4 linked regions of the Xenopus tropicalis genome follow. The protein of the gene in region 2 interacts with the protein of the main gene of each other region in a pairwise test. Links are inferred from orthologs where the notes say so. Each region holds a gene or a part of one and is shown on either strand. Other genes may lie near its edges. The genes, in order: cep44, aqp1, rgs17 and trim23.

Region 1 (7,631 bases), on a different chromosome or scaffold from region 2:
TCACATATTATTTGTATTTTCCGTTCAGAAAATGAACTCTGAAGAAATTGCTGTTTTGTTAATATAGGTTTATAATTAAAAACATCTCTAAGAACCTAGAGAAAAAAAAACACAAGGAAGACTCAGTATTTGATAACAGTGTACTATGTACACTGTACAATGCAAACAGTGTACAATGCAAACAAAATTACATTTTGGAAAAGGAGACAAAATTTTTATCTGAACTAGCTGTACTGTAAAATAACTATTATTCCTGATAGATTACTTTACTGTGGGAAAACTAAGAGGCTAGAGGTATGAAGAGCAGGCTTTTACTTTTTATTTCTGGCTAGTGCAGCTCTTTTAAAGTAAAAAAAAAACTTTCCATGTTTTTTGTTAGGTGCACAACCTAACACACTCATGCTGTGCGTCACTGATAGGTTACACCTGCTCTAACTGGCAGGTATGTAAACAATTTGCAATGCACTACTGACCAACAGCATGTATGAGTTATTTGCAGTTGCCTTAAAATTAGATCGAGAGCATACTAACAAACCCTTCATATCTCAAAAACCATAAGAAAAAAATACAAATTGAAATTTCATTTTCTTTTCTCTTTCTTTGGTTTACTTCTTCTCCTCTTCTTTCTTTTTTTACTTCCACCTGTTTTTTCATCATTCTGCTACCCCCCTCCTTTTCAAAACTGCACTTTTGCCCCTTAAACTGCTCCCCACCCCCTCATTATGCTATCTATACCATTCCTTAACAGAGTTCTTAAAAGGCCACTCTGTTCCAGAAATGTATATATAAATGGAAACAACAACTTCAAAGTTTCTTTTTTTCATGAAAGCCAGAGAAAATCAGAAAACTTTGATAAAGAACTGCTTCAATCTCTGGCTGTTCGCATTTGTAAGCAGCTCTTTAGGTCTGTACATATCTCTGAACAGGGTTGGGATTTGGGTTCACTCTCTTGCAGACTCTCCAATCTGCTTAGCATTTTACATCGATAAGAATACAGCCTGGTGCACAGAGGGCTACAATGACACAGCAATGATGCATGCACTTAAACTCAGATTCAGCACTGCTGATTGCCCTCCATTTACAAAAACTTTACAGTTGCATGCACGTCAACTTAAGGTGGCCATACACGTGGCGATCTGACGATGTTTCGTACGACCATCGGTCGCACGAAACATCGTAAGATCCGCCACACACCATTCAGGGCTGAATCGGCAGGTAAGGAGGTAGAAACAATAGGATTTCTACCTCTTTCTGCCGATTCAGCTCTGAAGGGAGAATTTTGGTCAGGCGCCTTCTATGGCGCCCGATCAAAATTTTCAAACTGGACCGATCGGCGAGTCGTCCGATATCAGCAGCTTCCTGCAATATCGGTTGACTCGCCGACATGCCATACACGCACCGATTATCGTACGAAACGAGGTTTCGTACGATAATATCGGTGCGTGTATGGCCACCTTTAGACTTAATATACACTAAAAGGCAGTAAGCAATTGACAAGGTCCACTCCACTTATTTTTAAGCTTGCCAGAAAGTATTTATGTATTAGTGAATAATGCTTCCCATGTGGAGAAGGTGTTTCCTAAACGTCTCCATACTGATTCAATATTAATGTGAGAACATACATTAAAATGAAATAATATGCAAGGTGAAAGTGCATCAGTTAGATAGCATTCCACTGATCAGGAAGATAAAGCAGGTGAATGGAAGTGCGCAGTGCATTTATCCTTAAGTTGAGGTGATCCTAAGGGAGATTTCATAGTAAAGTGCTTGGAGTATGTGAGAGAGTTGGAAATCATGCAGCACAAAAGTGCATTCATTCCTGCTGGTCATATTCCTAACGCGTTTTAGCACTGTGTAGCCTCAGTTAACGAAGCTACTTCCTGAGTGAATTTCACACGTGTCTATATAAGACCGCGTCACTACAGTCAAACTTACCTGGTCTTCCATTTCGCATGAGCCTACATACCGGAGTATATAAAACTCAGCAGCACGTCAAACTGCTAAGACCCTCCATGACCCATTATTACGCATATGCAACCACATATATGGATGAACATAATTCCTAAGCCACTCAATTCAGATATGATACATAAGAATACATGGGCAAAAATAACATTACGGTACAAAGATTACTGATCTTAGAATACAATTTACCTTATAGACTGCTTCAATAAATCTCAAATCGCTCTTAGTTGCGAGCTCTATACCCAAAGAAATCAAAATCTCTGCAATGCTTGTGGAATAGCATGTGAATGTGTAACTGATGATAGGCAAGAATGCAGAAGGATCTCCTTTAATCAATCTGTGGAATTTAAAAAATGTTAAAAAATAATTTATCTATGATTAAAATTAAGCATGGCAGGTGCTAGAAATACTCATTGCCAATATTCATACAGTTCCCATTGGTTTAAAAACTAATTGCTGGTAAGAAAACTGTCTTTTTTAAAGATAACATGACATTAAAAAGAACTGACCTGTATAAAGTTACTTAAAGAAGAAGCAAAGGCTAATAAAGAGTTAATCTCAAGCTGCAGGCATTCCTTCAGTTCTCTCAATAGTGCCCTTAAGTCTCCCCATATTTCTCCCGTTCTGATAATCAGAAGCCTCACAGGAAAAGAAAAATGCTGAGCTCTGTAAAGAACGTTCCCATAATGCCTTGCTCCTGCACCAAGACCAAGACCTGTGTACATGCTCAGTTTGTAAGACTATGAGGAAGCTTCCAGCTAATTGGCTCAGATCACACATTCCTAAGATGGGGGGGGGGGAGTGAGTTCTTAGCATTCTTGAGGGAGAGAGGAAAGAGCTGTGTGTCTCTGGCACAGGAAAACAAAGAGACAACAAATTCTGTTTCTTTTGACAGAGAACTCAGTGCAGTGTTGCTGTGAGTGCTTATAGCTGTATTTACATAGACCTTTCCGATAAAGCTTACTTAGTTTTTACCTTTCCTTCTCCTTTGAAAAAATAAAAAATAAAACACAGTACTAAATATCTTTTTCTCAGAAACATAATTATAGGACTTTAAGAAAGGGAATCTTACCCTGAATAGTCCACATCCCTAGGGTAATTAAGTGTTCTTAGTCTTTGTTCTAACTTTCGAATACAGCCTTTTACATCCCCAGTTGCCATGGTTTTCCTAGATCTTCCACACACGAATAACCAAACTTAACCTAAGAAACAGAAGAAGACATATTAATGTTATGGATATATATATGATGCCCTGAGAAAGGTCCCGATGGGGACCGAAACGTTACGGCGGCTGTTTATGCTGTTTTGAATATATGTTTTGATTTTTCACAAGAAATCCCGGAGTTGCTGGTCTTTTTTATACTAATTATATATATATATATATATATATATATATATATATATATATAATAACCAATCCAAAAAAAATAGTTTGGACAAGATTATCTCTTTCACACACATCTATATACACTGAAATTGTGCATCATTTGGCAACCTGCTGTCACATGATGAATGAGGAAAGTGCTCACCTAAACACAGGCCTATGAGTGTATATCCCTACCTGAGAACCCTGCGAGATAGGCCTGAGCTCACAGAAATTATTAAGCCCCAAAAGCTTGCATACACTTTTGCAATGTAACTTTTCAAGCATCTGATGGATGCGTATCAGAGAGCTGGCACCGGCGGAATTCTTTTATTTTGCAAAGGTGCCTTAGTGGGAAGCTGGCTGATGGTAAACATAGTACACACCCCTGTTGTATTTCTGTCTGGAGTAAATACCAGGATTTTACACTGCTTCAGGCTAAAACACTAGTTGCAATCTGCACAATAACCCTAGTGCCAGCACAGACAAACGATAAGGAAAGCATTACAAAGTATACTTGGTGGAGGGTAAAGGCCATTTACTGTCATACACACTGGCATCTGGGCTCCCTCATAAACCATTCAAAGCCAAAAGCAACTAAAAGCTGCAACTAGAACACTAATATTTGTAAGGTAATATAAAGGCAATTATAACAGTTTACCTATATTGAGGTTATTGCTTCATCTCCTGTACGTCTGCCAATTATTATTTTATTATGAGGGGCGCATCAAAGTATTACACAAGTCATGTGACACCCAAATAGCCTATGAAAGCAAACATACCCTTTTGGCCCTCCGGTTCCTTAGCTCACCTCGCTTTTCAGAGCTGGTAGGACATAGGTAGAAGTGCAAGTGTTTGGAATACCCTATAACGCCTTGTGTTGTAAGAGCCCTCACAGCGTCCCACACACAGGCTCTTTCCAACCGAACGCTACCAGTCCCCGCACTCCCGCTTTCAACTTCCTGAGCTCCGCATAAATGGCTTCAGCTCAGCTCAGCCCCACTTTTCCCCATACGAATCCTCCCGCCATTCCACAGCCCAAAGACCGCTCACACGGAATGCGCGCTCCCGCGTTATACGTAACATAGAAAGCCAGGCGCTCCCGCGTTAGCTGTAAAACCACACGCTGCGCACTCCCGAATTCACTGGAAACCCCCTGAGAGCGCGCTCCCGAATTCACTGGAAGCCCACTAGGAGCGCGCTCCCGTATTGCCCCCACTGTTTATTTCCACATAAGCACCATGTAGTCTATATAACGTATTTGTTTTACAAAGGTGGTCCCTACAACCATGTTAGAATCTGCACAGCAGAGCCTCTACGGCGAAATATTTAGTAACCCCTTTAGAAAAACCATAAAACGTTTTAATGCAGCCGTCTCACGCCAGGTACCTGTACCATTGATACATTTTTTTTATTTTGGTTTTATTGCTCCTTTAACTGCTATGCCTACTCAAGGCCGAACCTAGTTAGTTGCTCTAGCGGCCTTTTATCAAATTCCTCACTAAAGGTGTCATCATAAGTTCTGTCATTTCCAGTCGAGTTGGAGGAGTCTGCGAAAACAGGAAAAGGAAGTTGGAGTGGCTCCTGTGGTAGCCATGGCAACACCCATAGCGTCATTACTGAAAGCGTAATAGAATAAGCAGTACAACAGTTTAGTACACATTGAGCAAGTTTGTCCCGTCTGCCTCCTTGTAGGTTAGTGACATCACGGTCACATGATTGGATGCGAGAAGAACCACTGGGAGCTCAGGAACCAGGCAGCAGAGAGGAGCAAGAGAGAGCGCAGGAGGGTTGTGTGCACCTGTCAAGATACGGCACTCATGGTGTAAGTAAGTGGGTTTCTTCTCACTTCTGTTTCTCTGACTAGCGAGAATGGTTGCTTTTGAAATTCAGATCTTTGGGGTGTAGGAATACAAAGGTTCATGGCATTCACTAATCCACCTTTAACTCTGTTTAAGTGAAAAAATAACTACAATTTAAATGTGTCAACCATATTTCTTGCAAGTGAATGTTGTTTTGAAGTGTATTCAAATATTAGCACTGATCCCACGCCCAAACTCGAGAGTCAGGGGAATTAGTGCTTGTGACTCATGTAACTTTTGGTTATAGCACTGAGGTGATACTGGCTCATACCATTAAACTGTGCCCATACCATCTGCACAACCTAATGTCCTGAACACTGCAGCTAGTCCTAACTGATTCCTCTGCCTGCACTTTGTCTTCAACCAACAGCTCAACTCTTACAGAAGCAGGAGGGCTAGTTACTTGTATTGGCTGTGTTGCTTAGATTACTGTTTCCTTTCTGCCCATGGAGCATCTTATCATGGAAATGGTATGAGCACAATTTACTGAAATGGTACTATTTACTTTAATTTTACTTTGCTTTTAATTGAGCTTATTTGACATAAAGTTCAGTTAGTTAGGATTATGTAAATAAAGGTTAATAGACACATACAAAGCTGCCCTGTGCCCAGCTGTACTTTGTATGGACATAAACCCTCAGTCAAAAAATAAGAAGAAATATATTGGGGTTTTTTTCACATCAAAAATGTTGACATTTTCACCCCAAGAAATTGTCCAGTTTCAGAAAATTACCCCATAGGCTGCAGAGAAAGTATTGACCAAAATGGTCATTTAGTCTTACACCAGGCTGTCTGTGTTGAGATAAGGGGGGGCTGATACTCTTATATAATAAATAAGAAATATATATATTAAAATTTGCATCTGTCAGGCGAGGGTAGTTTTAATGTACCAGCACTGTTTGAGGGGAACACCCCCTGGTTGGTAAGGTTATTTGGACCCTAGCAATCAGATAGCTGCTGAAATTCCATACTTGTAGGTTCTAAACAAAAAGTGAAATAATTAAACCTCATATAACACAAAAAATTAAAAAGAATTGCAAGATGTCTCAGAATATTACTCTTTACTTCATACTGAAAGTTAACTAAAAGGTGAACAACCCCTTTAAACACTGTGCTGCTGATCTTACGCCAGTATTGACCCATATATCAAACACTTCCGTAGCTTCTGGACTATTCACCTCTTTATTCACGCAGACCTGTTTTGAACTATTCTTAAAAAAGACACACTTGACCCATCTAAGTCTACCTGACACATCTCTAACTACCAACTCTTTTTATCACTTGCCTGTATTGTGTTATCTTCTATTTTTTACACCTACAATCTATTGGACCCTTTGTAATTTGGCTTTCAATGTGCACTTTACTAAGACAACATTGTTAAGAGTTAGTTATTGTTCTGTGCCTAAGCTATAACTACATGCACATTATATATTTCAATTAGCTAGGTTATCAGGTGATTTAAACAAGGAATGGTAAAAAAATAAATAAAGCGTTAATTATTGGCCTATACATGTAGATCTATGTGCTAAAAAAGGATTTCTTCTAGGATGCTGTGAATAATTTAGAATGATCACTCATTTTTAAAATAAGTTAAAAGCTGCTGCAGTGCAAACTTTAACTTTCTTCGCTTCTAGAAATGAGCTGATTCTGGGCACACACGTGAGCATTTCATCATTTTGGAGTCCTGGGCATTCTAGCAATGATACTTGGGTCCATGACCTACCCAAGAATCATCACTGATCTCTCAGGCTCTCCTGTCTTATATCATGTGCCAATAAGGTTTATGTGGTCCTGTTGCCTTGCAGACATCCTGAAGAGAAGCTTTCAAGCTCCTCTGCTTGCTTTTGTTTACAGGGTATCAGCGAGCGAAGGAGCAATTTACACCAAAAGCTAATCAGGGTTCTGGTCTGAATGAGGTCTGTGGGGCAGAACTGTTTGTTTATAATGCAGTCTGAACCCACGTGTAGTTTATGCAACCAGCAGGGTAAGAAGGCATGCGCAGTTGCAATGAAACACGGGGGTGTGTGATATGGGTAAAAGAACATGGCAGAAGCAAAGTCTTTAATACTGGCAATGTTTGAACTAGTAGTGCACAATTAAAATAATAATAAAACAATTTTTAATGTGGCGGTTCAAGAGGAGGGGTAATGAGAAACATTTGAGAAATGTTTCTTTTTTGCAGGTTTAGTTCTCCTTTAAGGAAACCAATAATAAGTTGTTCTTATTGTATATATTGGTATAAAGCCTTAATAATTACCGATTGTGTGCTTATAACAAGCAGTTGGCTGGGGGGGAAAGGTTGGCAGTTACATCTCTTCAGCTCCTCAATTGCTTGATTTGTACCCAAACTACTATCAAATATGTAAATGGAAAATTAAATATCAAATACATTGAAGACAATTGGGAAGATGCAACACAAGTGGAATAAGTTACAAAGTCAT
Region 2 (7,461 bases):
GGAGTGAGTGGGACTGGGAGTGAGTGGGACTGGGAGTGAGTGGGACTGGTTACAGTGTAGCAGTCCCGGTGCAGATGGACTTTCCCCAGGGAAGCGCTGGTTCCTATCAGTACAGGGAGCAGGTGCAACGGCTACATATTCCCCCCAAGGCCGACCCCCCCCCCCCCCCCCCCGGGCAGCTCAGTATGTTGCACAAATAAGATAAAGTAGGGGAAATTATTTTACAGTAGGGGGGGTATCTGTAGTGGGGGGGTATCTGTAGTGGGGGGGTATCTGTAATGGGGGGTATATCTGTAGTGGGGGGTATCTGTAGTGGGGGGGTATCTGTAGTGGGGGGTATCTGTAGTGGGGGGGTATCTGTAGTGGGGGGGTATCTGTAGTGGGGGGGTATCTGTAGTGGGGGGGCGTTAGTTAATACAGTAGGTGCCTCAGCTGTCAGTGGGTGCTGAATGGCTGCTGCTTGTGCAACTGTGATTAATAGTATCATCTGCCCAACTCTCTGCCTAACTCTGCCCTACTCTCTGCCTAACTCTGCCCTACTCTCTGCCTAACTCTGCCCTACTCTCTGCCTAACTCTGCCCTACTCTCTGCCTAACTCTGCCCTACTCTCTGCCTAACTCTGCCCTACTCTCTGCCTAACTCTGCCCTACTCTCTGCCTAACTCTGCCCTACTCTCTGCCTAACTCTGCCTACTCTGCCTAACTCTGCCCTACTCTGCCTAACTCCTCTGCCTAACTCTGCCCTACTCTGCCTACTCTCTGCCTAACTCTGCCCTACTCTGCCTAACTCTGCCCTACTCTGCCCAACTCTCTGCCTAACTCTCGCCTACTCTGCCCTACTCTGCCCCTACTCTGCCCTACTACTCTGCCTAACTCTGCCCTACTCTGCCCTACTCTGCCCTACTCTCTGCCTAACTCTGCCCTACTCTGCCTAACTCTGCCCTACTCTGCCCAACTCTCTGCCTAACTCTGCCTTACTCTGCCTACTCTGCCCTACTCTGCCCTACTCTCTGCCTAACTCTGCCCTACTCTGCCCTACTTGCCCTACTCTCTGCCTAACTCTGCCCTACTCTGCCCTACTCTCTGCCTAACTCTGCCTACTCTCTGCCTAACTCTGCCCTACTCTGCCCAACCTCTGCCTAACTCTGCCCTACTCTGCCCTACTCTCTGCCTAACTCTGCGCCTACTTATGCCCTACTCTCTGCCTAACTCTGCCTACTCTGCCCAACTCTCTGCCTAACTCTGCCCTACTCTGCCCTACTCTCTGCCTAACTCTGCCCTACTCTGCCCTACTCTGCCCTACTCTCTGCCTAACTCTGCCCTACTCTCTGCCTAACTCTGCCCTACTCTGCCCTACTCTCTGCCTAACTCTGCCCTACTTTGCCCTACTCTCTGCCTAACTCTGCCCTACTCTGCCCAACTCTCTGCCTTACTCTGCCTACTCTGCCCTACTCTGCCCTACTCTCTGCCTAACTCTCTGCCCAACTCTGCCCTACTCTCTGCCTAACTCTCTGCCTAACTCTGCCCTACTCTCTGCCCTACTCTCTGCCTTACTCTGCCCTACTCTGCCCTACTCTGCCCTACTCTCTGCCCTACTCTCTGCCTAACTCTGCCCTACTCTGCCCTACTCTCTGCCTAACTCTGCCCTACTTTGCCCTACTCTCTGCCTAACTCTGCCCTACTCTGCCCAACTCTCTGCCTTACTCTGCCCTACTCTGCCCTACTCTGCCCTACTCTCTGCCTAACTCTCTGCCCAACTCTGCCCTACTCTCTGCCTAACTCTCTGCCCTACTCTGCCCAACTCTCTGCCTAACTCTCTGCCCAACTCTGCCCTACCCTCTGCATAACTCTCTGCCTAACTCTGCCCTACTCTCTGCCTAACTCTCTGCCCTACTCTCTGCCTAACTCTCTGCCCTACTCTGCCCAACTCTCTGCCTAACTCTCTGCCCAACTCTGCCCAACTCTCTGCCTAACTCTCTGCCTAACTCTGCCCTACCCTCTGCCTAACTCTCTGCCTAACTCTGCCCTACTCTCTGCCTAACTCTCTGCCTAACTCTGCCCTACTCTCTGCCTAACTCTCTGCCTAACTCTGCCCTACCCTCTGCCTAACTCTCTGCCTAACTCTGCCCTACTCTCTGCCTAACTCTCTGCCCAACTCTGCCCTACTCTCTGCCTAACTCTCTGCCTAACTCTGCCCTACCCTCTGCCTAACTCTCTGCCTAACTCTGCCCTACTCTCTGCCTAACTCTCTGCCTAACTCTGCCCTACCCTCTGCCTAACTCTCTGCCTAACTCTCTGCCCAACTCTCTGCCCAACTCTGCCCTACTCTCTGCCCAACTCTCTGCCCAACTCTCTGCCCAACTCTGCCCTACTCTCTGCCTAATTTTCTGCCTAACTCTGCCCTACCCTCTGCCCAACTCTCTGCCTAACTCTCTGCCTAACTCTCTGCCTAACTCTCTGCCTAACTCTGCCCTACCCTCTGCCCTACCCTCTGCCCTACTCTCTGTCCAACTCTCTGCCTAACTCTCCCCTACTCTGCCCTAATCTCTGCCCAACTCTCTGCCCAACTCTGCCCTACTCTGCCCTACTCTCTGCCCAACTCTCTGCCCAACTCTGCCCAACTCTGCCCTACTCTCTGCCTAACTTTCTGACTAACTCTGCCCTACCCTCTGCCCAACTCTCTGCCTAACTCTGCCCTACTCTCTGCCCAACTCTGCCCTACTCTCTGCCCAACTCTGCCCTACTCTCTGCCCAACTCTCTGCCCAACTCTGCCCAACTCTCTGCCTAACTCTGCCCTACTCTCTGCCTAACTCTGCCCTACTCTCTGCCCTACTCTCTGTCCAATCTCTGCCCAACTCTGCCTAACTCTCTGCCTAACTCTGCCCTACTCTCTGCCCAACTCTCTGCCTAACTCTCTGCCTAACTCTGCCCTACTCTCTGCCTAACTCTGCCCTACTCTCTGCCCAACTCTCTGCTCAACTCTGCCCTACTCTCTGCCCTACTCTCTGTCCAACTCTCTGCCCAACTCTGCCCTACTCTCTGTCCAACTCTCTGCCCAACTCTGCCCTACTCTCTGTCCAACTCTCTGCCCAACTCTGCCCTACTCTCTGCCCAACTCTGCCCTACTCTCTGCCCAACTCTGCCCTACTCTCTGCCCAACTCTCTGCCTAACTCTGCCCTTCTCTCTGCATAACTCTCTGCCCAACTCTCTGCCCAACTCTCTGCCCAACTCTCTGCCCAACTCTGCCCTACTCTCTGCCCAACGCTCTGCCTAACTCTGCCCTACTCTCTGCATAACTCTCTGCCCAACTCTTTGCCCAACTCTGCCCTACTCTCTGTCCAACTTTCTGCCCAACTCTGCCCTACTCTCTGTCCAACTCTCTGCCCAACTCTCTGCCCAACTCTGACCTATTCTCTGCTCTACTCTCTGCCCAACTCTCTGTCCTACTCTGCCCTATTCTCTGTCCAACTCTCTGCCCAACTCTCTGCCCAACTCTGACCTATTCTCTGCTCTACTCTCTGCCCAACTCTCTGTCCTACTCTGCCCAATTCTCTGCCCAACTCTCTGCCCAACTCTCTGCCCAACTCTCTACCAAACTCTCTGCCCAACTCTCTGCCCAACTCTCTGCCCAACTCTCTACCAAACTCTCTGCCCAACTCTCTGCCCAACTCTCTGCCCAACTCTCTGCCCAACTCTCTGCCCAACTCTCTGCCCAACTCTCTACCAAACTCTCTGCCCAACTCTCTGCCTTACTCTCTGCCCTACTCTCTGCCCAACTCTGCCCTATTCTCTGTCCAACTCTCTGCCCAACTCTCTGCCCAACTCTGACCTATTCTCTGCTCTACTCTCTGCCCAACTCTCTGTCCTACTCTGCCCAATTCTCTGCCCAACTCTCTGCCCAACTCTCTACCAAACTCTCTGCCCAACACTCTGCCTTACTCTCTGCCCAACTCTCTGTCCATCTCTCTGGCCAACTTTGCCCAACTCTCTGTCCATCTCTCTGGCCAACTCTGCCCAACTCTCTGTCCATCTCTCTGGCCAACTCTGCCCAACTCTCTGTCCATCTCTCTGGCCAACTCTGCCCAACTCTTTCCACCAATAGAACAATTATGCTCTGCAGGGACCCAGGGCCACAGGTCCTATTATGCCCCACTAAGAAGAGTTTGGACTACAAAGAGATTATCTTGGATTGGGGGGCTTGTAGCCATAACTGGGCACATGTAGGTGCATTTATGCCAGCACTGAGCATGGGAGGGGCCTATAAACCAGCTGCTATTGGTCACCCATTCTCTATCTATCTAGATGGATAGATAGATAAATAGATAGATAGATAGATAGATAGATAGATAGATAGATAGACAGACTGACAGACCTGACCAATGACAATGTGTAGGTGCCAGCTGGCCATATACAGATGGGTACACAATGAGACTTGGGGGTACTTACCCCATTGAGCCCCAGTGAGTTGTTGCTGATCTGGGTGGTGATGCCGGACAAGATGGCGGTGCCCACGACGGCGCCCAGGCATTGGGCAATAATGTACATAAGAGCCTTCAGGATGCTGATCTGACAGCTGAGCAGGCAGCCCAGGGTGACAGCTGGGTTGAGGTGGGCTCCGCTGATGTGGCCAACGCTCTGAGCCAACGTGGCAATGGCCAGTCCAAAGGCCAAGGAAACCTTGACGATGTCTTGTTGGCGAGTGTCGGTGTTGGTGGCGTTGGCGGCGTCGGCGGGTATGGGGTACTGCACCCCCAGGGCAGCGCCAATACTGATAAACACAAACAGGATCATGGCCAGGAACTCGGCAATAACTGCCCGCCAGAAAGCCTTCTTCTTCAGCTCACTCGCCATCCTCTCCCTCTCTGTGCTGCTTCCCTATGGGCTCGGGTCTGAGGGAGAGAGGAGCCGGGGGGATATTTATAGGGGCCGGGGGGGTCTGTAGGCGGAGAGGGGGGGTTGCACAAAGGGAGGAAGGAGCAGCCGCATCCCAGTCTCACTGCCAGTTACTCCTGCCGGCTCCCCCACCTTCCCCAGTTACTGATTTACTCACAGACTCACTCCCCATACACATACGTGTAACTTACTCACTGCAACTCCCTGCCCCAGTGAGCTTACAATCTAAGGTCCCTTTCCCATTCCCATCAGTCCCTGCCCCAGTGAGCTTACAATCTAAGGGCCCTATCACATTCCCATCAGCCCCTGCCCCAGTGAGCTTACACTCTAAGGTCTCTATCCCATTCCCATCAGTCCCTGCCCCAGTGAGCTTACAATCTAAGGTCCCTATCCCATTCCCATCAGTCCCTGCCCCAGTGAGCTTACAATCTAAGGTCCCTATCCCATTCCCATCAGTCCCGCCCCAGTGAGCTTACAATCTAAGGTCCCTATCACATTCCCATCAGTCCCGCCCCAGTGAGCTTACAATCTAAGGTCCCTATCACATTCCCATCAGTCCCGCCCCAGTGAGCTTACAATCTAAGGTCCCTATCACATTCCCATCAGTCCCGCCCCAGTGAGCTTACAATCTAAGGCCCCTATCACATTCCCATCAGTCCCGCCCCAGTGAGCTTACAATCTAAGGTCCCTATCACATTCCCATCAGTCCCGCCCCAGTGAGCTTACAATCTAAGGTCCCTATCCCATTCCCATCAGCCCCTGCCCCAGTGAGCTTACAATCTAAGGTCCCTATCACATTCCCATCAGCCCCTGCCCCAGTGAGCTTACAATCTAAGGTCCCTATCACATTCCCATCAGCCCCTGCCCCAGTGAGCTTACAATCTAAGGTCCCTTTCCCATTCCCATCAGTCCCTGCCCCAGTGAGCTTACAATCTAAGGTCCCTATCACATTCCCATCAGCCCCTGCCCCAGTGAGCTTACAATCTAAGGTCCCTTTCCCATTCCCATCAGTCCCTGCCCCAGTGAGCTTACAATCTAAGGTCCCTATCCCATTCCCATCAGTCCCTGCCCCAGTGATCTTACAATCTAAGGTCCCTTTCCCATTCCCATCAGTCCCTGCCCCAGTGAGCTTACAATCTAAGGGCCCTATCCCATCAGCCCCTGCCCCAGTGAGCTTACACTCTAAGGCCCCTATCCCATTCCCATCAGTCCCTGCCCCAGTGAGCTTACAATCTAAGGGCCCTATCACATTCCCATCAGTCCCTACCCCAGTGAGCTTACAATCTAAGGTCCCTATCACATTCCCATCAGTCCCTGCCCCAGTGAGCTTACAATCTAAGGTCCCTATCCCATTCCCATCAGCCCCTGCCCCAGTGAGCTTACAATCTAAGGCCCCTATCACATTCCGATCAGTCCCCGCCCCAGTGAGCTTACAATCTAAGGTCCCTATCCCATTCCCATCAGCCCCTGCCCAGTGAGCTTACAATCTAAGGTCCCCTATCACATTCCATCAGTCCCTGCCCCAGTGAGCTTACAATCTAAGGTCCCTATCACATTCCCATCAGTCCCCGCCCCAGTGAGCTTACAATCTAAGGTCCCTATCCCATTCCCATCAGTCCCCTGCCCCCAGTGAGCTTACAATCTAAGGTCCCCTATCACATTCCATCAGTCCCCGCCCCAGTGAGCTTACAATTCTAAGGTCCCTATCACATTCCCATCAGCCCCTGCCCCAGTGAGCTTACAATCTAAGGTCCCTATCACATTCCCATCAGTCCCGCCCCCAGTGAGCTTACAATCTAAGGTCCCTATCACATTCCCATCAGTCCCTGCCCCAGTGAGCTTACATCTAAGGTCCCTATCACATTCCCATCAGTCCCCATGCCCCCCAGCTTACAATCTAAGGCCCCATTCCAATCAGGCCCCCCCCATTCCCATCATGCCCCAGTGAGCATTCCCATCAGTCCCTGCCCCAGTGAGCTTACAGTCTAAGGCCCCTCCCACATTCCCATCATCCCTGCCCCAGTGAGCTTACAATCTAAGGTCCCTATCACATTCCCATCAGTCCCTGCCCAGTGAGCTTACAATCTAAAGGTCCCTATCACATTCCCATCAGTCCCTGCCCCAGTGAGCTTACAATCTAAGGCCCCTATCACATTCCCATCAGTCCCTGCCCCAGTGAGCTTACAATCTAAGGTCCCTATCCCATTCCCATCAGTCCCTGCCCCAGTGAGCTACAAATCTAAGGCCCCTATCACATTCCCATCAGTCCCTGCCCCAGTGAGCTTACAATCTAAGGTCCCTATCCCATTCCCATCAGTCCCTGCCCCAGTGAGCTTACAATCTAATTTATAAAGAGTCTGAGTCATTACTTAATGGAAGATCACTGGGTTATATTAACAAGTACCTTGGTTATTTTTGGGAATCAGCCCTCTGTTTCCTCCACAGCATGTCAGGGGTTAACACGGGCGTAGGACTGCCCCAGGGCAGCGTGCTGTACTTACTGGGCTTGATTGGCAGCACAAGGCGGCTGTACATTTGGTCTGCGTTACTCTTACCCTCAGCACAGC
Region 3 (6,893 bases), on a different chromosome or scaffold from region 2:
TCATTGTGTGAAATATGAATGCACCTTTAAGCTAACTGGCCCAATGAGAACTGCCACTTGCCCAACTTCACAAGGCCTTAAACAACTATAGTACATATGCGCATCGCATTAAGAAAAATCTGGTACAAGCACAACCCATGCAGTATTCAATTTTCTTGTAGCAGCAATAACCACTGCGTAATAAATATAATGTTCATGCATTCAAACCTCTTAAAATCGGCAGGGGTTCAATAATGAAAATAGAAATAGCAAATCCTTTAACATGATCTGCACACTTGTCAGAAGGAAAGGGAAAGTCAACGTGTTTCCTTAATGTCCCAACACGGTAAAAGAGGACACGTCTTACTCTCCAAACTATTTTCCACCCAGCAACGAGTCTAGGTTTCTTCTCTGTAGACTGAGGTTTTTACTACTGTAAACAATTGTCTCTTAACAACTGCTAGCAGCAGAACTGAAACTCTACCCAGATAAACCTGTCTGTACATCTTATAGACTATATCGGTACAAATTCATTTCTCAACATGGTCGGAGTTATTGCTCCTTGAGCACCATACCATCTAAATGGACACAAAAATTCGAACGATACAGTAAACACAATTTTAATTAGGCAAGGGTCTTCTCTAAATCTCAGTAAATGCAAGTCTTCATTCCTGAAGTGGAAATATCACTAGTTTATTTTATTTTTAACTTTTTTTTCAGATTTTCTAAAAAAGAAAAAAAAATAAGAACCCAACACACACACATACGCACTCAATTTCTGTGCAACACACCGTAAGACTTATTCATGGCAGGGAGAAAACGCCAGTATGAATAAACTTCGCACAGGAGCATTCTCTGACAAAAACACATTTTTATGATAGAAATTATCATTTATAAATATTTTTATCGTGAATGTATCTACAACGTTACAAATAGTAGTCGTATTTGTCGTAAAAGTGCTGAATATCTCAGAATATCCAGATCCTCAATGTAAACAGAACCTATATTTTCCTATTTACAAATTTATTAGTTCTTTTAACCTTTTTTTATTTCTGTCAAACACTTACACAGGTAAACTATTTGCATAGGGAACAGGTAATAGCCCTTTAATATCCATTTCTCCTGAATTCTGTACAAATTACCAATGCAAAATATTTCATTTTTATAGATCTTAAACCATGCAAAATTATAGATAAAAAAAAAATTACACAATTGAAAAAAAGTCTGAATAAATAAAGCAAAAATAAATAATACCGAGGTAGTAACAAGAATTTTAAAAGAAAATTGTAACCGTGAGGCTGGATTTGCCGCTCCGAAAATCATGCAGTTTAAGCTTTAATAAGCATTTTTACTGTCACTGTGATGTTAGATCTGGCAAGATGTGATCATTTTTTAACAAATTTTGCTTTTTTTATAGAGATAATGGAGATATACGTTGTGTATGTGTGTGTGTGCATGTATATATATATATACAGGTATAGGATCCCTTATCTGGAAACCTGTTACCCTGAACGTTTCAAAATACGGAAAGGCCATCTCCCATAGACTCCATTGTAAGCAAATAATTATTTTCTCTTTAATAATAAAACAGTACCTTGTACTTGATCCCAACTAAGATATAATTCATCTTTAGAGGCAAAACAAGCCTTTTGGGTTTATTCAATACTTAAGTTATGGAGATCCAAATTACGGAGAGATCCCTTATCTGGAAAACCTCAGGTCCCGAGCATTCTGGATAACAGATTCCACACCTGTATATATTTTATATATACACTCAAAGCAATTTAAAAACCATAAAAAAATCTACCGTAAAGCAATACGAAGAATAACGTTTGGTTGTAATGCTGGTTTCTACAGATCCTTGTTACTAAGAATGTTTAGAAATGTGTAGAAGGATTGATATTTTACAACATTTTCAAAGTAGCTATTTTTAAAGTTAAAGTTTCTTTGTCAAAAAAAAAGTAGTTCTCATTCAGTCATAATAAAAGACATCTGTGTCATCAAAAGGTTTTCAAATGCTACATATAGGTAAACATCTTCATTTCTATTTTTCTTGAAATATTAAAGTATAAATATTTTTATTTTATTTTTTTTGCTGAAATACATAATGCTAGACAACAATGTTAAAACCGGTCGCCCAGTTTTACTTACATTTACAATGTACATAAATATGTTTTTTTTTTTTTGCTAGAACAATAAACAATATCAGCTGAAATATTTGGTCATCCATACAAGGTATCCTTTAGATTGCTTGTGCTTATTTGACATTGCAAACTCATTAATAAAAATATAAGAGAGCCACAGTTTGGCAGTGAACATCCGTGGAAATTCCACTTTAATTTCCTCCACACAAGGATAATTAGCTTTGCTTGTTTGTGTATTGGCTTGTTAGTATCCACTCTTTATACCACTGTAAAACACCATCTAATTGAAAATTGGATTATCCTAAAATGCCCATCTGAAGGAATACAAATCAAGCCAAAGTTTCATTTCAATATTTGAACATAATACTGTATTGCACATAAAATGTCAGTAACTACGTCGTTAATGCAATTGGCTATATATTGCAACAATGAATTGGTGTGTTGAGGACAGCTATTACCCTTGCACATGCAACATGAAATAAAACAAGGAGTCTGTTCATAGTCCACCCAATATATCATTGTAATGATATACTCAAGTAAATAGCATAGAAAACAAATGTGGCAATTCCAGTGTTGCTGTTTTTCAAACTCAAAGATGAAGAGCTTGTAAAAATGGAGACGGAGACCAAACAATTTTTAAAGTTATTCTTCACAGTAGCCTGAGTAGTGCACAAGTGGAGTTCTCCAGGAACTCAGTGTCTGATGGTAATAAACTACATATGTGTTCTGTTAAGAAAACAAGATATGTTATCCAGAGGTTTTAGCTAAGATTCAGTGATTGAGCCTTCTGTACTTTCAAGAAGAGACTTATAGACTTGTGAGTTCAAAAACCTTGGAAAAGAGTCTCTGTGCATCAATGTATAGATCTGAAGCTGGGCATCTTCGTACATATGGGGGGTAGGATCCAGCAAATTCCGGTTGATCACTTCACGCACTCTAGAGTCGAGGCTGACCTGTAGGCATGAAAATGAGCAAGTTATTGATTGCTAGTGTACAGTTTCACTGGGCATGTATAGTATTTTGTTTTCCTTTTCCGTGTTTTCATGGCAATATCAGTACATGGGAAGGCCAACTGTTCACAAATCAAATTTTTGAGTTTTTTTTCCTAATTCAGGAAAACTCAAAAAGCTTGAATGTGTGCTAATATATTAAAAAATGGAATTTCAAAAACTTGATATAAAACCATGAAAAAATGCTAAATCCCATAATACCTTTTAATGTGCCACATTTTAAATGAATCTCAAAAACTCAAATAAGTTTGCTCCAACTCCCATTGACGTCTACATGAACTCACAAGCTTCTTTTTCTGTTTGTGTTTTTGAGCATCAAGTTTTGGAAACCCAAATTTGAATTTATGTTTTTGTTGCAAAAATCTTAAATTGCAATAAAAACTTGAATTTGAATGTTTATAAAGCTTCCCCTTAGTTTAATGTCTGTAACAATATTGGCTTAAAGACGTCTATCCAATAAAACACCCTGTGTGTCATAAGACTAAATAAAAATGATTTCCAAGATTTCTCACATAGCATAAAGTCATCATTTACAAATGGAAACCTGTTCTTATGCCTTTTCCCTAAAGACAGTGTAAAAACTGAATTATGGATAGAATACTTTTGGTGCAAGAATGTAGCCATTTATTTGTGTTTGCAGGCACATTTGCAAATATTCTGTTTGCCTTTATTACAAAAGAGTCTAAGGAGCACCTGAATTTGACTTTTTACTGCAATCCTATTTTTTGGGGCAAAAATCACAAATTCGAGGTCCTGAAGCGTGAATTTTCGAAATTTATTATGCACAAAAACTCAAAAATAAAAGTCATTAGGAATTGTATTAGCAAGCTATTTTTCAATTAAAGTTTTCAAGACTAATTCAGAATTTAGTAGAATGTGATTTTACCACGTTCCAGTTTTTTTTTTTTCACAATTTCCACATTTTTTAAGATTCAAGTGTTTTACTAAAGGAGCACAGACTTGAGATTTTACATTTTTACGAATTGGAAAAAAAACCTTAGAAAAAGTCGAACTTAACATTTTTGATAAACCTGACAATCTTATGCAAAATAAACTCATGTTTTCTGACTTTCCCAACTGGATCATTTTATTTTAGCAAGGCTTGCTATAACCAACAGGTTTGATTCCAATGTCTTTGATTCCAATTGTTCATGCTGGTTATTCTAATAATCATTGGTAGGAAAACACTTTTGTAATGACAATCCCTTCTTGATTAACACTAAATTCAGCCAAATGTTCAATTTTTTTTGCTTAGGACATTGCTTTCCACCTTCCCAGCATAACACCATAGTTACTCTTCCATTTCCTAAACATATAGCAGATAGGCTTTGTATCAAAGTTTTTCGATTACTACTTGTTTTTTTATTACTCTATAAAAGTATTTTGATATGCTTGGGGATATTTTAGTTTAGTGAAAAGATAAGAGAACTTTAAAAGAAATGTGTAAGTCAGCTTCATGGCATATTGACACACTGCCAAGAGCATAAAAGATATATATACATGGGCTGGCTTTTGGCCATGCTATAAAATGTACTGCTTTTTTAAATAAAACAAAATCATATTTATCACTTATGAAGTCATAATATTCCATGCCGTCTACATTTCCCTTAACCCAGATCAAACGGAAATTTCTCCTTAATCTCTGCATTTTCTGGGTCCCTGGTGAGGTAATAAAGTCTTTCTCTACCTCTGCTATACACCCTTGTGTATCTCACGGTGCTGTGTTGCTTACTCACAGTTATAAAAGACAAGGTGATTGGACAGTGTCTGATCATCTATTGTTTTAATTTCTCTGGTGCTTATTATTTTCTCTTATAAGAAAACATAGAGAGGAAAAGGAACATGTCCAAGTATAGATATAATGACCTCTAACTGAGATCCTTAAAAAGCAAATGTGACTAATGTGGTCCTGGTTCAAAGTCAAACATTTTAGGCTGGTTTCAAAGGAAACCTCAGCCTACACATGATATTCATAGTGCTTCTCAGAGAACTTTTCAATTATAAATGCAGATGTTTCCAAAAAGTCAGAACTTCTGCTATATACTGTATATACAGCAAAAACGTTCTGCTCATAGGGTAGAGTCCTACTCACTAAACTACCACACTTTATTACATAAAGTATGTTTAAAGAATCTCATTGACAAAAGTGTAGAATGTACTTCTTGTGTATATATATATATATATTGTTAGAAAAACCATCAAGAGCAACCACATCCTCTGCTTCTATACTAATCTAGTAGTATAATAATCTGGCTCTTTCATGTGGATCAAGCTATCAGCAAATGAGTCATAACGGAAAGCTTTTGGATAAGAAAACCTTGCTGACTTTTTTTCTATCACTGTATAACAGGGAAAATCAGTCCAATCAGCTTGTTTCTGTGCAGCTCACTGGTAAGGAAGGGGTTTTATTGATGATAGGGTGGCAGAAAGAGTTTGGCTTTATTGGGGTTTGCAGGAGATCTGCTTCTGGGCAGGTCCCCATCTTTGTGTGTGCTCAGCAGTTTACAAAAAAATTTCAATGAATAACTGGCTGACAAATTTTTTGGCTGATTTCTAGTCATGGGAAAGGACTTGTCATCCCAAGCCCTTACAAGTAATTGTTCAAAGTCCGAGGGGAATCAGACTTTATACTCATAGCAACAAGGAGGAACACCAAGTGAGCAAGTTGTTCTCCCTCTGTAGGTATCACAGCACCTAACCCTAGACATCTTGGCCCAGACAAAAAGCTTCATGGTCATATTTTCTAGAGATCTACAAAAATTTTGACAAATACAACAATTATACTTGTAGCACAAATTGCCTGTATGTGTTTGTTAAAGAAATCCATTAGCCAGGTTTGGTTTAGGGAAATTAACTGAATGCAACCTGAGAATTTGCTTATATTAGTCTTAACATTTTACTCCAGAGATCAGCAGAAAGGCATGCCTCTGATGGCATTCCAGAAAACCAGTAGCCGCCCTCCATAGCTCAGAGGCTTTGGTGCTTTAAGAAGATGGTCCTTGGCCATGTACCCTGAAGAATGATTTTTCTAAACATTGGTTCCTCCTTGGGATCTCAGTATAGTCTTTAAATGCCTTTGAGCATTTAAGTATTATTAGTCATTAAGCATTATTAGTTATTTACATGAAATACACACATGATCATTAAGGAACATGCAGTTTCCCTTTGCAACCTCAGTTCAGACCTAGGGTCTTTTCAGTATTCCATTTACATTCCATTTACAACAAGGAAAACCGCCTGCCTGGCTGCTTAATCCAGAGATATTCAATCTCTAAGGGTCTCTCTTCACACTCTCCTAGAGCTGTCCCTATGGCCTGAGCAGAAAAAGCAGTGGGGCCAAGTGCAACTATACAGAAGTGCAAGGAGCATGTTGACACAAGTACCTACTGAATGTCATTTTATGTGCAACTGACTACAGCCAAGAGCAACTCTGCTTGTGTTCGTAAATGGTCCCTACTGTCACTATAAACTAAGTTCGAGGAAAGGCAGAATTAGGAAAAAAAATTTCAGCACTCATTAGTTATTACTACCCCTTTTTTCTTACAGAATATAGTTTCCTCTGTCCTTAGGTGTGCTGCGAATAGAAAGTAGGGAATATGCGAATTTTCATGCTCTAAAATGCAACAATAGATCTCTACAGGGATAAGTGACAGAAACTGAACTGTCACCTTAATAAGTTCTGTCTTGAGGGCAAATGACTTTTTTATAATCTTTAAAATTAAAAAAATTAAGGTGTATTATAATATTAGTACCAAATTAG
Region 4 (7,533 bases), on a different chromosome or scaffold from region 2:
ATTGGTCATCAGATAATATAGAGGGGTCTATAGGCCTATTGGATGATGATGTCATCATATGCTGATGCAGACCTCGTTGGATGACATAATCAAACCTGACAGATTGATAACTAGCCAATTTACGTCAATAGATCAGTTGGGCAGGCCCAAGAGCTGCTAACTCTTGTAGGCAGAGTTGGCAGCTTTTATCAACCTTTGTATGGCGACCTTTATTCTCCTGATACCTACCTTGTGTCCCTGATGTTTTCCATATTCTTTGCAGACACAGCACATCAGAGGACTGGGCTGGCAGCCATCTTCCAAACAAACAAACTCTATAGCATGGACTTGGTGCTGAGAGCACAAAGTCTTTTCATAAGGCTTATCAGCTAAAGGAACACGTCGGTGCTTGGCCAGTGTTTTAGTGGAATGTGTATTCAAGGAGCAGTCTGCACAGAGATGGGTTGCACAGACTGTGCAGTACACAGATGCTACATGGGCTTCATCTTCATCACAGCGTACAATGCTCTACAGAATGAAAGCAAGCACAAACACTGCTGCTTAATAATCAAGCTGATACTCTGACAGATTAAAAACTTCCAGCGAATGAATAATACAACAGAACATGTACAATATTTTTCCAAAGAATCCTAAAACAGGGTAATAATAGAATGAAATATCTAGAGCACAGGTCCCTAGAACTGCGAGACCCATAGGTATCCCGAAACAAGAAATCCAAATGGAGTAAGATATGGATATATGCATACTTGTGGTCCTGTATACACCCAAAAATTTGTAGGAGCACTTCCTGAAGTTCAAATAAGATAAACTTTGTGCTGATTTGCTGTCCTTGGTATTCTGCAAGCTGTATTAGCATAACTAATAACTGATAAAGTGATGCTTACATATATTTGTAGCTTTGGTATATGGTAAGGGGCTGGCCCTGACCAAATCTAGGACAAAAAAATGCATTTAGAGGGTCAGAATGGTGTTAAAACTTTGACAACTTCAACAACCAGATTATATTTTTTGTTTATAAAATCTACTTTTATAATCTACTGAATTAGCCAATAAAAGATATTGTATACCCTGTAGCTTCTGGTTTTGATGTAAATCATACAAAATTAACTGAAAAGTGGCTTATAATAGGTCCATCTATATTAACATAGCTAAAACAGGTGAATAAAAAAGTTGAATACCCTCTCTACCACATGTACTATACAATAACTACAGTCAGCATTACCTCTCCAGAGCCGCCCATTGCCTCTTCTACAGTGCTACACTGACTACTGGCACCATTCTGCAACCGCTCCAGGAGTTCCAGTAATGCAAAATTTTTCTTTAAGCCCCACACACCAGAGTCTCCTGTATAAGAACAAGACATTTACACATTATTTAAACAAATAATAATCTTAATTTCTTACTGTTCAGCTTCTCTGCAATTATAAGACAATGCCTAGTACTTGATGGCAATGAAGGTAGCTTATTGTATCCAAACTGGCATCAAAACAATATATATATTTTTTAAATATGTCAATGCTTATTTAACAGTCTTAAGGCATGATGATCCAAATTAAAGAAAAAAACCTAATCCCATACCAAAGGAATAATTCATTAAATAAAACAAATGGTTTTTAACATTTTGGAACAGAATAAAGGAGAGATTCTCAAAAGATGGGCTGTTCCCAGAGTTTCTAAAGCACACCCAGACTGGCAATCTGTGGATTCTGGCAAATGCCAGAGGGGCAGCTGCCTATTATAAATCCCAGTCTGGGCCTGTTTGAGAGCAGTGGGTCACCCAGTATCTATTTGTTGCAAGAGAGAGCAGCTAGTGCAGAGCAACTTGAAGCAAATGGGAAGCAATCTGCAGCAGGTAACAGCTATCAAAATCCTTGTGTTATAGAGACCTTAAATACATTACATAATACTATTGCTTAGTAAAGTAAAAAATGAATTCTTTAATACCTAGTTCAGTAGCTTGTCTGTCAAATGGACAGCGTATGGCTCTGCCATGAAGAGGCAGGCGTGTTAGACAGTCATGGCACACAGTATGGCCGCAAAGCAGCAAACGTGGAACTTTATCTCCTTGCAGTGAAAAGACATCTTCACAGACACCACATTCCAGAACCTAGTGTTGATTAAACAATTGTGGAAAGGTTACATTGTGGAGAGACATTTAAATATATCAGTCTGAAAGTTACGAGGATGCAACCATGTTGCTGGATGTATCATTTGCTTGCTAAAGATCAGGCTGGGGACCACTGCTCCTCCTGAACAGCCCAGGAAAGCTGCCTGTGGAAGTGGAAAGGCTGGGTGGTGCTAATAAGGTTTAAGATAAATTAAAGCAGCATTTTCTCTTAAAATGATACAGTGCTATGTATCCTTGCAGCAATATAAAAATAAAGTTATAAATACATACAATAGGCTTATTGCCTTTGCAGATGTGGGTATGGAATATCAATAGCTGCCATTGGGTATTATCCATATGCTTCCTACATCTAGCTGACTTTGCATGCTGGGAGTTGTAGTTCATTGGGAGTTAAAACGCATAGGAAAGTTGAAAGACAACCCTGTATAGGACATTTACACTTATCCATACAGCCAGGGCTGGAGTTAAAGGGGGGTGGGTAGCTTGCAATGCAGAAAGCCTGGAGTCTGATGAAGGGGATTAATATATGTATATATAATATATTAGGGATGTTTAACCTGCAGCCCTCCAGTTGTTGTTCTGCTAGAACTCTCAATAGCCCTACTAGCCAATGTATGGAGGTGCAGTACAACAAGAACAAAGAGCTCTAAGGCTGCCCATAGCTAATGTCAGTGGCATAACTAGAGGTGTCTGGGCCCCACAGCAAATTCATATTACCCCCCCCCCCCCCCCCTAAAGTTTAAGAGTTATTGTACATAAGTATATACTGGAATTGCTTATCACTCAGTGTCTGGGCCCCACAGCAAATTCATATTACCCCCCCCTAAAGTTTAAGAGTTATTGTACATAAGTATATACTGGAATTGCTTATCACTCAGTGTCTGGGCCCCGCAGCAAATTCATATTACCCCCCCCCCCCCTAAAGTTTAAGAGTTATTGTACATAAGTATATACTGGAATTGCTTATCACTCAGTGTCTGGGCCCCGCAGCAAATTCATATTACCCCCCCCCCCCCTAAAGTTTAAGAGTTATTGTACATAAGTATATACTGGAATTGCTTATCACTCAGTGTCTGGGCCCCGCAGCAAATTCATATTACCCCCCCCCCCCCTAAAGTTTAAGAGTTATTGTACATAAGTATATACTGGAATTGCTTATCACTCAGTGTCTGGGCCCCGCAGCTTCCTCTCTAGCACAATATAATAGGCCCTTTCTGCTTTGTTTCCCCCTAGGAGTATCCCATCTCCGAAACTGCCCTTTCCCCTAAAGCCTCCCTGCACTCTGCAACGAAATGATGTAGGAAGGAGAATGCATATAGCCAGACGCAGGGGGGCCCTCCTGCAGGGATAAACCAGGGCCCAAACTACACGGCATACACTTCTCCCGTAACCCTGCTCTAGTATCACCTTTACTGCTCCCCCCGGACCGGTCCGGCTCTGCCGTCCGCTGCCCTCCATTCTTCCAGGGCCGCCGTGTCTGTTTACAGCGACAGCCATGTTGACAGCTGGACCGTACCACTTCGGGTAGAGGGTTGAGAAATCATGTGAATCCTGGTGTTGAAAATGGCATTATTTAAGAATAAACCCTGTTTTAAAAAACAATGAATATATCTACTTAGGTTCATAACAGTAGCAATCTGAGAAGTCTAATCCGTATGACACCACCGACTGAGCAAAAGGCTTTTAAAACTATTACTAGCGAAACCGCAAAGTGGTTTCACCCAATAGCTATAACCCAACTCAGTCTCTTGCCTCAGAAAAATGGGAGCTAACGCTATAAGGCGCCATCTTAAACATTGGCAAACGTGCCCTCATATTTTTCCCCTGAAACAAAAACAAAATGATAGATAGCAGAGACGGCGATTCTGTGGTTCTGCAGCTTTTGTCGAAATAAAAGTTTTGCAGGGCTCTGTTGCAATGTGAATAATAGAACTGAGAAGCGGAAAAAGCCTCTGCGCATGCGCATTTTGTTTTACTAGAACTGGCCCTTTCGTCTTCCCGTACAGGCAGTTCCGGGTGTGTGTAGGGGTGGTGACGGCGGTTCTGGCACCATGGACGTCAATCAGCCCAAGCAGGAACATTTGTTGGCCCTGAAAGGTATCAGTGTGAGGCTGTGGTGTGTGTTCTCTGCGCCCTGACTGGGGAGTCAGCCCGGCCTGCCCCAAGCTGTAGCACAGGAGCCAGAGCTTTCCTGCACTGGCCATTCCCATAGGTGTCCTGGCCCACTCACTTCTGTTCCAGAGTACATAGACTATGCACCTAAGCAAGAGGCTGCCCTGCCTTGCCCTGTCATTTCTAGTTACTTCCATCCCTTGCCATTATGGTAGCCACATTGAGTGATCTTCTTAACCATTGATGCTACAGTAACCCCATGGCAGCGCAGTTAGTGCAAATGATTATTCTGCAAAGCAGCAGTTACTCAGATTGTCTGCCATAGCTGAGTGGCCCCCTCCTGCTTATGCTTGCGTTTGGAGCAGGTTGGGGGCCCATAGGACACAAAGAAAGTGCATGGAATTAACCAATTGGGCATGATCTCATTGGTGGGCTCCACAACGGTTACAATACATTTTTGTATGATTATCCTCAAGCAGGGGAACTAAAATACAATAATGCTGGAAATACAGAAAAACTCTGTGCTGACTAATAGACATGATAAATGATAGACATACCAACCTGTACCAACAGTGATGGGAAAGATAAACTGTAATCTCAACTAAACCAGGTTTTTATTAAGAATATATCATTAAGGAACATTTGTTCTAATTAAAAGTAAGTTAATAGCAAGGATGAGCTCATCCAGCTGACAAATATAAGGGTTCTACTATTTTTTGAGAGCAGCGTCATTCAAAAGTTACAGTAGATGTAATAAATAGCCCTGGTATCAGGTAGTAATTATTTAGGTCTTTTGGGGCTTTAAAACATTACACGGGGGCCAATTTATGCATATACGTGTAAGGGGTGCAACAAACAGCATTGTAAAGTGAACCTTGTGCAAGCAGAGCTGTGCAGCAAAACAAATTAATGGCACACACAATGCCAAATTAACTAACATTAATGGAACAGGCAGGTCAGTACAATGAAATATAATACAAAATACAGTTACATTCAGGATTAAGTGGTAGAGACGAGAGGAAAGAGATTTTCCCCATAGAATCTAGATAGGAGTTCTCTAATAATCAGACATTGATAGATGTAAAGCAAAACATTTTTTCCCATAAGTGCTTTAAGAAGATTTTTCTGATCAATTTAGTGGCTTGGAATATAAGCAATACAGTATGAAAATAATACGATAATTCTCTTTTGGTGCTGGCTGCTTTGTAAATAGCTGCTCCAAAGTGCAAATATAAAATTTAATAGATTGTTAACAACATTTTTTTTTTGTGGATTTGCTTCAGTTTATGGTGTCATTATGTGTTACAGGTATGGAACCTGTTATCCAGAATGTTCAGAACCTAAGGCTTTTCCACATAATAAAACCTAATAGGACTGTTTTGCCTCCAAATTATTTGGATCAAATGCAAGGAACTGTTTTATTATTGCAGAGAAAAAGGGAAATCATTTTTAAAAATGAGAAATATTTTCTCATAATGGAGTCTATGGGAGATGGCCTCCCATAATTTGGAACTTTCTGGATAACAGATCCCATACCTGTATGTTATTTGCTTCAGTTTATGGTGTCATTATGTGTTACATTAGCCCATAGTCTGCCCTTAAGCTATTCCAGGAGATCTGTGTCAATGTACTTTACTGAAAGTCCTATTTGTGACTACTTCACATCCCCCCATGCAACACTGATCATTTATAATGGATAATTCAAACATTTTTGGGCTGATTTCTAACCACTGTTAATCTTTCCTTCTCTGTCAGGGTTTTAGATGTTCTCTTTCTGAGGATACAGAGTCTATTGATATAGAAATGTTTAGACCATTATCTAGAACAGGGATCCCCAACCTTTTTGACCTGTGAGCCACATTTAAATGTAAGTTGAGTTGGGGAGCAACACAAGCATTTAAAAAGTTCCTGGGGTGCCAAATAAGGGCTGTGATTGGCTATTTGGTAAGCCCTATGTCAACTGGCAGCTTATAGAAGGCTCTGTTTGGCAATACACCGGGTTTATATACAACCAAAACTTGACACCAAGCCCAGAATTAAAAAAACAAGCACCTCTTTTAGGGCCACTGGGAGCAACATCCAAAGGGTTGGTGAGCAACATGTTGCTCACGAGCCATTGGTTGGGGATCACTGATCTAGATCATGGAGATGATCTTATTATATCCTATAAAGCTTTATTCTCATGCAGTTGTACATAAAGGCTAAGCTATCAAGGGCAACTAACCACTCCGAAATGGCTTTCCACCGCCAACAATAGGAATCGGTGGGAAAGCCTTTCACATCACCTCGGTTTTCCGAAGTCACGTGAAGTTGCCTGCAGAAGGGAACTTTGCACAACTTACTGAAGAAATGCAATGGCTTTACCATTGGTGACTCCTGTTGTTGCTGGTGGAAAGGCATTTATGAGCGGTAAGTCGCCCATAATAGCAGAGATCTATCACATGTGACTGAACCGCTCCCTTGGTCCCTAGCCTTAACAGATTTTCTTAAAAAAAAAAAAAATTTTTTTTGTGTGTGTGCTGTATCTGTGTGATTTATAGTAGCACCCTAAGTGAGCTCTGGTTTGCACCAAATAAGCATCATAAATAGAGGTTATGGGGAGCTATGTTTGTGGTTGTTGTTTTTTTTCTCTTACCTATGGAAGTTGGTTGTGTTAAGGTTTGTAATGAACGTTCTGATGCTCTGGTTGGCTACAGGTTGTGCCTGTTCCTTCCCTCTCAATGGTTATACACACAAGATCACAAGCAGAGATATTGCTGTAGGGGCTTATACATCAATCAAATACTTTTAGGCTGTATTTTTAAAGAAACTTTAAAACTAGTTGTATTTGTGCTAGCAAAATCCAATAATAACCATAAAGGTCCTTTAAGTTTACACCAGTCATTGGGTTATTGATAAGTGAAAGCAAAAAGTCCTATACCATTTCAGTTATTCCGGGTAAATGCCTACTTTGCAGTTTAATGTCATTTATCTTGTGCCCTTGGATGGCATCATAACACAGCTTATGTTTGGGCTATTGTTTCATAGAGGGTGATTGGTTCCTGATGATTTGTGATATGATTTGTGATAATACATGGATTTTTTTTTATTCATTTATTTTGTGCAATTTTGGAATTCGCTTCCGAGTTTTTTTTTTTTGGGGTTGCACAGAGAGCTAAATAATACTGTCCATTTTTAGTGACATGACCTTTGACCAGTGTAGGCAGAATGATATGTATCTGCTTGGTTCTGGGGGTATTAATGCAGCTGTAAAGGGAACTTTAAGATTTAACTACAATAAAATCAGACAACTG

The links.
Region 1: the proteins of aqp1 (region 2) and cep44 interact in binary tests that used the Homo sapiens proteins (3 or more experiments, as listed by UniProt). The link is inferred for Xenopus tropicalis from reciprocal best matches to the Homo sapiens genes AQP1 and CEP44.
Region 3: the proteins of aqp1 (region 2) and rgs17 interact in binary tests that used the Homo sapiens proteins (3 or more experiments, as listed by UniProt). The two-hybrid records come from large-scale screens. The link is inferred for Xenopus tropicalis from reciprocal best matches to the Homo sapiens genes AQP1 and RGS17.
Region 4: the proteins of aqp1 (region 2) and trim23 interact in binary tests that used the Homo sapiens proteins (3 or more experiments, as listed by UniProt). The two-hybrid records come from large-scale screens. The link is inferred for Xenopus tropicalis from reciprocal best matches to the Homo sapiens genes AQP1 and TRIM23.

What each region holds. Positions count from the first base shown.
Region 1 is NC_030677.2:48,382,187-48,389,817, forward strand, and holds the start of cep44 (centrosomal protein of 44 kDa), read right to left. Parts: upstream 4,900-7,631; 5' UTR 4,791-4,899; intron 4,714-4,790; exon of another isoform or gene 4,618-4,713; intron 4,404-4,617; exon of another isoform or gene 4,111-4,403; intron 3,168-4,110; 5' UTR 3,127-3,167; coding exon 3,038-3,126; intron 2,303-3,037; coding exon 2,155-2,302; intron 96-2,154; coding exon 1-95. UniProt on the Homo sapiens protein: Centriole-enriched microtubule-binding protein involved in centriole biogenesis. In collaboration with CEP295 and POC1B, is required for the centriole-to-centrosome conversion by ensuring the formation of bona fide centriole wall.
Region 2 is NC_030682.2:8,351,812-8,359,272, reverse strand, and holds the start of aqp1 (aquaporin-1), read right to left. Parts: upstream 4,880-7,461; 5' UTR 4,853-4,879; coding exon 4,448-4,852; intron 1-4,447. UniProt on the Homo sapiens protein: Forms a water channel that facilitates the transport of water across cell membranes, playing a crucial role in water homeostasis in various tissues.
Region 3 is NC_030681.2:42,987,353-42,994,245, forward strand, and holds the end of rgs17 (regulator of G-protein signaling 17), read right to left. Parts: intron 3,077-6,893; coding exon 2,888-3,076; 3' UTR 2,021-2,887; downstream 1-2,020. UniProt on the Homo sapiens protein: Regulates G protein-coupled receptor signaling cascades, including signaling via muscarinic acetylcholine receptor CHRM2 and dopamine receptor DRD2.
Region 4 is NC_030677.2:187,784,877-187,792,409, reverse strand, and holds the start of trim23 (E3 ubiquitin-protein ligase TRIM23), read right to left. Parts: upstream 4,092-7,533; 5' UTR 3,626-4,091; coding exon 3,536-3,625; intron 2,108-3,535; coding exon 1,945-2,107; intron 1,345-1,944; coding exon 1,223-1,344; intron 508-1,222; coding exon 229-507; intron 1-228. Other genes in the region: trappc13 (trafficking protein particle complex subunit 13), read left to right, coding at 4,180-4,225.